Xenopus tropicalis: one gene and its partners. The protein of the gene in region 2 purifies or fractionates together with the protein of the main gene of each other region. This does not show direct contact. Links are inferred from orthologs where the notes say so. Each region holds a gene or a part of one and is shown on either strand. Other genes may lie near its edges. The genes, in order: cops5, ddb2 and cct7.

The links.
Region 1: the proteins of ddb2 (region 2) and cops5 purify together in Homo sapiens (affinity purification with mass spectrometry; 10 studies listed by BioGRID and IntAct, counting the BioPlex papers as one, with this or other methods). This does not show direct contact. The link is inferred for Xenopus tropicalis from reciprocal best matches to the Homo sapiens genes DDB2 and COPS5.
Region 3: the proteins of ddb2 (region 2) and cct7 purify together in Homo sapiens (co-immunoprecipitation; 3 studies listed by BioGRID and IntAct, counting the BioPlex papers as one, with this or other methods). This does not show direct contact. The link is inferred for Xenopus tropicalis from reciprocal best matches to the Homo sapiens genes DDB2 and CCT7.

The regions. Positions count from the first base shown.
Region 1 is NC_030682.2:119,213,120-119,216,776, forward strand, and holds part of cops5 (COP9 signalosome complex subunit 5), read right to left. Parts: intron 2,508-3,657; coding exon 2,379-2,507; intron 2,301-2,378; coding exon 2,235-2,300; intron 1,702-2,234; coding exon 1,616-1,701; intron 1-1,615. UniProt on the Homo sapiens protein: Probable protease subunit of the COP9 signalosome complex (CSN), a complex involved in various cellular and developmental processes.
Region 2 is NC_030680.2:15,450,564-15,453,456, reverse strand, and holds the end of ddb2 (DNA damage-binding protein 2), read right to left. Parts: intron 2,620-2,893; coding exon 2,455-2,619; intron 2,036-2,454; coding exon 1,990-2,035; intron 1,624-1,989; coding exon 1,382-1,623; 3' UTR 633-1,381; downstream 1-632.
Region 3 is NC_030677.2:16,896,453-16,900,109, reverse strand, and holds part of cct7 (T-complex protein 1 subunit eta), read left to right. Parts: intron 1-371; coding exon 372-478; intron 479-3,055; coding exon 3,056-3,181; intron 3,182-3,492; coding exon 3,493-3,545; intron 3,546-3,657. UniProt on the Homo sapiens protein: Component of the chaperonin-containing T-complex (TRiC), a molecular chaperone complex that assists the folding of actin, tubulin and other proteins upon ATP hydrolysis.

The DNA of each region.
Region 1 (3,657 bases), on a different chromosome or scaffold from region 2:
AGGGGGAAACAATTTACTCTCAGCTACATAAACCCTTTCTTGGGTTACTGGGAACGGAATACCCATGGGAGCTTAGGGAGTGTCTCCCTAAGATGGCGCTACACAGATGACGTGATTAGAGTTTGGAAGGATATACAGTAAGCAATGAGCTGTTTATAAACTTAATTATATAAACCAGATATGAACCTGGAGTTTACTTATAGTTCAAGCAAGGACCTAGAAGTTGTTTAAGAATCTTTTTCAAAAGATTGGTATGTCCAAGCAAACAGAAATCATATTCTTAAAGGTATACTTTCATGATTTTTATGGTATACTTTTTATTTCTAAATTACACTGTTTACAAATAATTCACTCAACCATTTAAAATTCTATTCTTGAACCAACAAATTTATTTTATTTTCTTAGTTGTAATATTGGTGTGTAGGCACCATCTCAGTGCATTGTGCCCGAGTCTGAGCTTTCAAAAGGAGCCAGCACTACACATTAGAACTGCTTTCAGGTAACCTATTGTTTCTCCTACTCCCATCCCAATCCAAGCTGGATTTATTACTATTGAGTGCTATTCTGATACCTACTGAGAGCTGCTATCTTGCTCCCTTCCCATTGTTCTGCTGACTGGCTGCTGGGGAGGGTGATATCACTCCAACTTGCAGCGCAGCAGCAAAGTGTGACTGAAGTTTATCAGCGCACAGGTCACATGGCTGTGTCTGGCTGGGAAATGAAGAATATGGCTAGTCCCAAGTGAAATTTCAAAATTAAATATAAATAAAAATCTGTTTGTGCATTTGAAAACGGATATCAATTCAGGATTCTCCTGAAGAAGCTCTATTAACTGATGCATTTTGAAAAAAAAAACCATGTTTTCCTATGACAGTATTCCTTGTGGTTTAGGAAAATTGTATGACAATCTATAATATGGCTAGTGCAACACGGAGCTGTTTCCTGGCCTGCGTATAAACACAGGCCTACAAACAGATGCTCTGCTGGTCTCTGCTCACCCCTCTGTCTGCATTGACAGGCACTTTTGTAGCCTAGGTGCAGACACACAGAGCAGATTTCAGTGCAAAAATGCGAGTATGCATTTTAAAATCCACTCTGTGCATCTGTACCCAGCTAACACAGTGCATATGAGTACAAAGGGAGAAGCAAGCAGAGGCCAATGGATGGAATGTTTTTAAACTGCCCCAGGTGGAGTAACATTTAGGAAGGTACCCAACACAAGACAAATGTTAGATCATAGCTACCTTCCAATAAAAAAATGACGAGCTTAACTAAAGACATTTAAATCTAGGGTCACAGGAGAGGAATTAAAAATTAACACAGTTTTTAGGTGCAATACCAATAATGTTACATACATCTAAGATACTAATGCATGTTTGGCAGCTATAAGGAGAGTGAAATAAAATCTAAGATACTGTAAAGCATACATTAATATATATACTCATGCAAAGATTCACAGCCTGTAATTGAACTGGATATACCATAAAATTGCTCTGTGCCCTGCCTATAAGCCATACTATGAAGCTTAGGACTCTTTTTTAAGAGTCTTTTTCTTAGCCTTGTAATTCCTTTTTAATATATTAGTTTCTTATGTTTCCACTACAAAATTACTTACTGCTTACAATGCACCCCAAAATCTTCTATTTTGTTCAAAGGAATCGTCTGGTACTCTGACGGACCCTCATCTGGAGGTTTATAGCCCTACAACAAGAAGGTCATCCATCAGAATTGCAAAACAAGGAGTTGATTTACTTTACTTTTTCCTGTTTATTTTTCACATCAGCTAAATGTTAAGTAAATATGTGTTTGAGTGAGTTGTAGCTCACCAGGACAAATATATGGCACAACCAAAAAAGGAAGTGTCATGATTTTGTAGCTACTTTCATATAGTGACAAGTATTGATTTTGTATCTTTTATGCCAAAATGTACTGGTGTCATTAAACCAGGGAAGGGAGTATGTTCATTTGCCATAAAGTTTTAGAAAGACATGTAAAACAAGGTGAAGGACCCTATGAATGTACTGAATTGAGTGTTTGCTACATGGACTATATATCCAGCAGTGAGGTTAGCCTGGAGTGGAACAGTGCATATTTTCATTGTTTGTGTGATCTGTCTCATATTTGGCTAAAAGCAAGTAGATGTAAGCCATAATAATCTTACCCTTGTTATATGCCAAGTAATGATTAAATTACAATTAAAAGTAATATGAAACTTAAATATCATTAACATTCACCTTTGGATATGTTCTGAATGCACCAAGATTAACTTTGCCAGCAGATATTGTTCTTGTTGGATCAATCTGAAGAAATGAAAATTGGAATAAAAAAACTTGTTGTATCAATAATCTGCAATGACGTTATAGTAATACTGTACTCACCACTACTGCAACAAAGGGTTCTTGAAACTGCTGATTAAGCATCTGGGTGCTGACATCTATGCCAGAAAGCCAACAGCCATAGCCAGGGTGACTGTGGTACCAGCCTATTGCATTTTCAAGTCTTCCAACCTGTGAAGAAAAAAAACAAGGATTGGCTGCCAAATTCTGTCATTTTATTTCAGGTAACACCAAAAAATTAAAACATCTTTTTATTTTTTTTTACTTTTAAAGTTTGTAAAGTATTTGTTGATATAGGACTTAAATATTTACAAGTTGTGAAGGCATTTGTCCGTTTATCTTTTTGAGTAAGAGCTAAACCGATTGCATTCTACAGAGTTTATCTGCTATATAGCCTGCAATTTTTTACTTTTACAGCTTGAATGGCTGCCCCCATGATCACACAGCAAGCAAATACACAGTTTTTACAAATGAAGGCAGCCGTACATTATATTTTAATTAGTTAAAAAAATGTAATTTGTTGGTATTACTGTTCCTTTAACACAATTTATAATACACTATATATATATATATATATATATATATATTATATATATATATATATATACACACAAACCAAGAGGGTTCAGCACTCCTTAGCAAGTGGCTAATTGACCCAGGTGCTACCGATTCAAGCAATTTCAATAGAGTCCACAGGTATAGCGGTGCACACTGGGAATCCTTTAAAAGTTAGCTTTTATTAAACTATATAAAACTTAATACATGGAGAAATAGGTCAACGTTTCGGCCCCCATCTTGGGCCTTTGTCAAGACCTTAAACATGTAACAACCATCAAAGCTATAAATAGATAAAAGCACAAACCCACACCCAATGGCACAAGTCATTCCAGTCATGTGTCAAAATTAAAAGAAAAGAAACCCTGTACCAAGGAGAAAACAATATCAAACACCATAAGGAGAATTATAATGAGCATACCACTGGCCATAAACTCCCATTGGGAGTTTATGGCCAGTGGTATGCTCATTATAATTATATTATCATTATATTATATATATATATCGAACCAAGGGTGGCACACCGCTTCAATCCTTGTCCCAGGTGCACGGTAAAAGAGTTTAGATATTGAAAAAAAGACCAGCAACACCGGATCTATTGCAAACAATCAATTATATATTGAAAAATACATATATAGAATATATATATATAATATATTCTATGTTTTTTTCCGTGCACCTGGGTAGAAATTGTTTGAATGCGGGGCATCTTTAAAGGCACAGATATTCCCTACTAGAGGGCTACTGTTGAATGTGTAATAAAGGA
Region 2 (2,893 bases):
CTAAGGGGTGTACATCAGTGCAATACTCCCTAATTATATAGCACACAGGCTGGGGGAAGCTAAAGAAACATATCTCACACTCCCAGAAACATTCTTCAATGAATTTCCCCACAGACTGGTGGCAGCATCTTGCAAAATGCAATTGGGTGGGTGCTTGGCACTTGCTAGGGGTGACACAGATGACACTTTTTAAAGTGTAGTACCACTGACTCATTGAAAGGGACTCCTTCAGAGCAGGTACCCCACCATTCATACCATAATTGCATTTTTAACCACCATTGTGGTGTAAGGAGAGGTGGGATGTCCCCTCCAATGATAAGTCGAAGAAAAACCTTTAATGTTTTGCTTGCCCATAGACAATGGGTTTGGAACGGCACGGAATAAAGCAGGAATTATAAACCAGGTGGCAATAGTTCAAAGCAACCAACCTTCCTAGACTGCCTCCCAGCCTCATTGGCTACAATGTAATGGGACCGGCATAGATATGGACAGAGCAGGTTTAAGCTACAATGACCATGGTCATCCTAGGTGAGACATCTGGCCAATTACGTCCAATTACTATGAAGAAAGGTGGGTGGTTGTTTTTTATTCCGGACCTGAAGAGATCCAACAAGTACCATAAGAAGACAGGGTTCAGGATGGAAGTCACATTTATTTTCCATATTCTTCAAGACTTTTTGGCCTCAGAACTAAAGGATTCCTATGGTAATGTCCCAAACAGAATCAGCCCCCCCCGCCCCCGCCATGCCAATAGTTCCCACCGGTAGTCAGTCTCACTTGTTCCACGGTGTCCCCCGGCTTCTTACCTGAACGCAAGAATAAAGGGGATGTGTTACATCTGTGTTGCCCATCCCATGATCCTGTTCTCTACTGTTCAATAACCACTGGTGCAGCGGTCTTCATCCGAAGGCCTGGACTCATGGGCAATCCAAGATTCCAAGGGATGATCAGTCTGTCAGCACCCAGGCGCTTCTGTTTGAGAATCCATTTTAACATGGATCCACATTTATTTTGTTTGTATATATATAATATAAAAAAAAAAAAATAGAAAGACAACACATACCATGCCCTGAAAGCAAATAGTAATGTATACCAGAAGCCAGCAGGGGGCAGATGATTAAGCCAATTCACTGACTGGACTGGACTCGTCAGAGCGGAGATGCAGGGTGTAATACTGGGACCCTCGCTAAAAATCATTTTAGTCATGAAAAAGTTCTGGATGTGAAAATACAGCGCAACCTTGTATTGAAACACATAAAGCAGTGCAATAAGGCACTATGGGTTCGGCTCCAGCAACCTAACAATCCCAAGGATGTGGTATCGCGCTGGCTGCCATACTCCATGTTTGAAATGTTGACCAGTTGGGCGCTGAAGCCTATGTTCATTTGCCCGGGTCTTTGTGCTTCCCACGTTTAGAAGATTCCCTCACAGTCCGGGTCTTGCTGCTCTCCGTGGTGCTGCCTTTATTCCCAGGCTTCTCTCTGGGAGCGCTGGAATGTGGCAATCTGGAATTCGGAAGTTCCTTCCTTCCCACTGAAACCCCCTTCTCCCTCAAAGCCTTCATCATCTCCTCCTGCTTCATCATCAACAGAATCTCCCGGCTCCAAATCAAGATATTAAAACCTAAAATAAATCATAGGGGGAAGAGGAAGATTTCTTCTTTAACCGCTTTCTGCCTGGCTGTCACAGGGCTGCAGGCTGAGTTATACAGGGAACTCTGAGTATCACTCATGTATTATAAGGGATAATGTACCCCCTACTGTAAATGATAAGGATATTAGCAGTCACTGAGGGGTTCTGTGACCATATAAAGGCACAGGGCTGCAGGCTGAGTTATACAGGGAACTCTGAGTATCACTCATGTATTCTAAAGGAATAATGTATCCCCCTCCCACAGCCCCCTGTTGTGTTATAATACCCTTACAATAAGCAATATAGCTACTTCCTATTTTATTTTAATGGAGGCCACAAGTACAATAGTGCACTCACCCATGCCAGAAGCCAGAAGATCTCCCATTGGATTAAATTTGTTGAGCTAGAAAGATAAATAGAAACCAGGTTAACAACTCACTTGAGGCCAAAGCTGCATGGGTGCAATGGGGTTATTAGAGGGGTTTGAGCAGGAATGTTTACCCCTAGAGGCAGGGCCAGACTTAGGAAAGAATGGAACCTATGGCAATGTAGGAAGGCTGAGATCACCTGGTGCAGAGATTACGAAACTCAAAGAGGTCTAACCTAGAACCTTCCAGTTAAATAAGCGGAGCATGGTGGCCTGGGGGGAAATGCGTGTGTCACATGAACATTCACACAGACCGAATGTAGGCAATGTTCTTCTGATGTACTTCCCACACTGCCAGGTTCCCCTATCAATCAGGGCTTTCTAAGAGACCTCTAAAGGTAAAGAAGTGGACACTTTCCATGAAGAGCCCAATATGGAAGAAGTGGGACCCTTACCGAAACAATACCAGAAGCATAAGGGTCATACAGCTGGCATACAATATTCCCTTTCTGTCCATCAAACACATCTACCGTCCGAAGCTCATCTGACATATAGCCTGGAAAGAGCGGGTCTGGGTATCGGCCAACAACTATTAAATCATAGCGAGGATGCCACGTGGCCTGAAATTTAAAAAAAAAAAAAAATACATTAAAGGCAAGTAAAGGACTACCTGATTCTGAGCAACTTGGCAAACAGAAAGGGCAGGCACCCGTAAACCCACACCAGGTTATTAGAACAAAATGTCTGTTTACTGCAGGAACATGCAAAGAGACTCCTTCAGGGTACTTTTTGTATCATGTATGAAGAAGGATAAATGTACCCCCTACTGTAAATGACAAGGATATTAGAAGTCATTGAGGGGGTTCTGTGCCCATATAAAGGCACAAGGCTGCA
Region 3 (3,657 bases), on a different chromosome or scaffold from region 2:
GGGGGGGGTTCCCCAGGAGCCACGTTTCTGCCCTGGGCACTATATGGTAACTCACCTTGTGTATTAGGTACCGTACATGCGTGCCACCCTTCTGATTGGCCAGCGTGCAGATCCCTGTGCCATTGCTATACACCTACCTGCCATACATGCACTTTATTCTGGGGGCAGTTAGTGTGCGAGCCCTGCCTTAGAGGAATAGGGCCATCTATTGGCCATAGGGAATATCTGCATCGAAAGCCATAGGGAAATGATTGGTCTGACAAGCCTTTATCTGTCAGGGGTGCTGGGAGTTACTCAGGCTGCTGGGAGCTATTCAGGGTGCTGTAAGTGGGTGTTTAGTAATTCCCTTTATTTATTTATTTTTTCTTCAGGCAAAGCCACAATTTCAAACGATGGTGCCACAATCCTGAAGCTCCTTGATGTGGTTCATCCGGCAGCAAAGACGCTTGTGGACATTGCCAAGTCACAGGATGCAGAGGTGAATGTGCTAAACACTCAGGGCCCAGAATCTTTATTGTCAGGGTAATGTAGCAAATGGGTAGGTGGGATAGTGCGGCGGGGGGGGGGAGCCTTCCTATCAGTACAGGGATAGTGCGGCAAGTGAGAGAGCCTTCCTATCAGTACAGGGATAGTGCGGCAAGTGAGGGAACCTTCCTATCAGTACAGGGATAGTGCGGCAAGTGAGAGAGCCTTCCTATCAGTACAGGGATAGTGCGGCAAGTGAGGGAACCTTCCTATCAGTACAGGGATAGTGCGGCAAGTGAGGGAGCCTTCCTATCAGTACAGGGATAGTGCGGCAAGTGAGGGAGCCTTCCTATCAGTACAGGGATAGTGCGGCAAGTGAGGGAACCTTCCTATCAGTACAGGGATAGTGCGGCAAGTGAGGGAGCCTTCCTATCAGTAGAGGGATAGTGCGGCAAGTGAGGGAGCCTTCCTATCAGTACAGGGATAGTGCGGCAAGTGAGGGAACCTTCCTATCAGTACAGGGATAGTGCGGCAAGTGAGGGAGCCTTCCTATCAGTACAGGGATAGTGCGGCAAGTGAGGGAACCTTCCTATCAGTACAGGGATAGTGCGGCAAGTGAGGGAGCCTTCCTATCAGTACAGGGATAGTGCGGCAAGTGAGGGAACCTTCCTATCAGTACAGGGATAGTGCGGCAAGTGAGGGAACCTTCCTATCAGTACAGGGATAGTGCGGCAAGTGAGGGAGCCTTCCTATCAGTACAGGGATAGTGCGGCAAGTGAGGGAACCTTCCTATCAGTACAGGGATAGTGCGGCAAGTGAGGGAACCTTCCTATCAGTACAGGGATAGTGCGGCAAGTGAGAGAGCCTTCCTATCAGTACAGGGATAGTGCGGCAAGTGAGAGAGCCTTCCTATCAGTACAGGGATAGTGCGGCAAGTGAGGGAACCTTCCTATCAGCACAGGGATAGTGCGGCAAGTGAGGGAGCCTTCCTATCAGTACAGGGATAGTGCGGCAAGTGAGGGAGCCTTCCTATCAGTACAGGGATAGTGCGGCAAGTGAGGGAGCCTTCCTATCAGTACAGGGATAGTGCGGCAAGTGAGGGAACCTTCCTATCAGTACAGGGATAGTGCGGCAAGTGAGGGAGCCTTCCTATCAGTACAGGGATAGTGCGGCAAGTGAGGGAGCCTTCCTATCAGTACAGGGATAGTGCGGCAAGTGAGGGAACCTTCCTATCAGTACAGGGATAGTGCGGCAAGTGAGGGAACCTTCCTATCAGTACAGGGATAGTGCGGCAAGTGAGGGAACCTTCCTATCAGTACAGGGATAGTGCGGCAAGTGAGGGAACCTTCCTATCAGTACAGGGATAGTGCGGCAAGTGAGAGAGCCTTCCTATCAGTACAGGGATAGTGCGGCAAGTGAGGGAACCTTCCTATCAGTACAGGGATAGTGCGGCAAGTGAGGGAGCCTTCCTATCAGTAGAGGGATAGTGCGGCAAGTGAGGGAGCCTTCCTATCAGTACAGGGATAGTGCGGCAAGTGAGGGAACCTTCCTATCAGTACAGGGATAGTGCGGCAAGTGAGGGAACCTTCCTATCAGTACAGGGATAGTGCGGCAAGTGAGGGAACCTTCCTATCAGTACAGGGATAGTGCGGCAAGTGAGAGAGCCTTCCTATCAGTACAGGGATAGTGCGGCAAGTGAGGGAACCTTCCTATCAGTACAGGGATAGTGCGGCAAGTGAGGGAGCCTTCCTATCAGTAGAGGGATAGTGCGGCAAGTGAGGGAGCCTTCCTATCAGTACAGGGATAGTGCGGCAAGTGAGGGAACCTTCCTATCAGTACAGGGATAGTGCGGCAAGTGAGGGAACCTTCCTATCAGTACAGGGATAGTGCGGCAAGTGAGGGAGCCTTCCTATCAGTACAGGGATAGTGCGGCAAGTAGGCAGGTGTGGGTGGCGGAACCTTGTTTTCAATACAGGGACAGTGCTGCAAATGAGCCCGTGTGGGACCTGCTTTCATTACAGGGATAGTGCTCTGGTTTTGGTGTGGTACTGGGGTACAGGGATAGTGCTCTGGTTTTGGTGCGGTACTGGGGTACAGGGATAGTGCTCTGGTTTTGGTGCGGTACTGGGGTACAGGGATAGTGCTCTGGTTTTGGTGCGGTACTGGGGTACAGGGATAGTGCTCTGGTTTTGGTGCGGTACTGGGGTACAGGGATAGTGCTCTGGTTTTGGTGCGGTACTGGGGTACAGGGATAGTGCTCTGGTTTTGGTGCGGTACTGAGGTACAGGGATAGTGCTCTGGTTTTGGTGCGGTACTGGGGTACAGGGATAGTGCTCTGGTTTTGGTGCGGTACTGGGGTACAGGGATAGTGCTCTTGTTTTGGTGCGGTACTGGGGTACAGGGATAGTGCTCTGGTTTTGGTGCGGTACTGGGGTACAGGGATAGTGCAGCAAATGTTCCGGCAGGGAGAGCTCTGGATTCCTGCTGTTACCGAGCCTGTTCATGACTGTATTTTGCTGAGCTACGGTTGTGCCATTGCGCTGCTGATTCTGCAGAGGAACAGCCTGTATATAACTACATATTGTTTCAGGTTGGCGATGGCACCACCTCTGTTACCCTGCTGGCCGCTGAGTTTATGAAACAGGTGAAGCCCTATGTGGAGGAGGGACTCCACCCTCAGATCATCATCCGCGCTTACCGCACCGCCACACAGCTTGTGAGTATCCAATGGTATTTCTCTAGGGATTAGTGTTTTGTGCGCCAGTCGGTGGCACCTACCAGTGAGAATTAAATAGTATTTGTAAGTTATATAACTTATTTGTAAGTTATATAACTTAGTTATAAATCGGTGATTTTACTATGTCTTTTGGGCCTTATTTGAAGTCAGATGTTGTGTTTCTTTTTTTTTTTTACTCTAACCCAACAAGTGCAAATAGACCTTATTGGCCATCATATTTATAGTATTTATTCCCTTTGCCATGTGGGTCACTGCTTGGAATAATTAATCGTGTTTTCTCTTGCCTCCAGGCTGTCGGTAAGATAAGGGAAATTGCAGTCACTGTGAAGAAAGAAGATAAAGAGTAAGTATATGATATAGTTCCCACTAGACTATGCTCTTTATCAGAGTTCTGTACCTGGGAAGGTGCTGGGGGAGGTTGGATTCACTTACCCAGGGTGGGTTCTTGCCTTGTC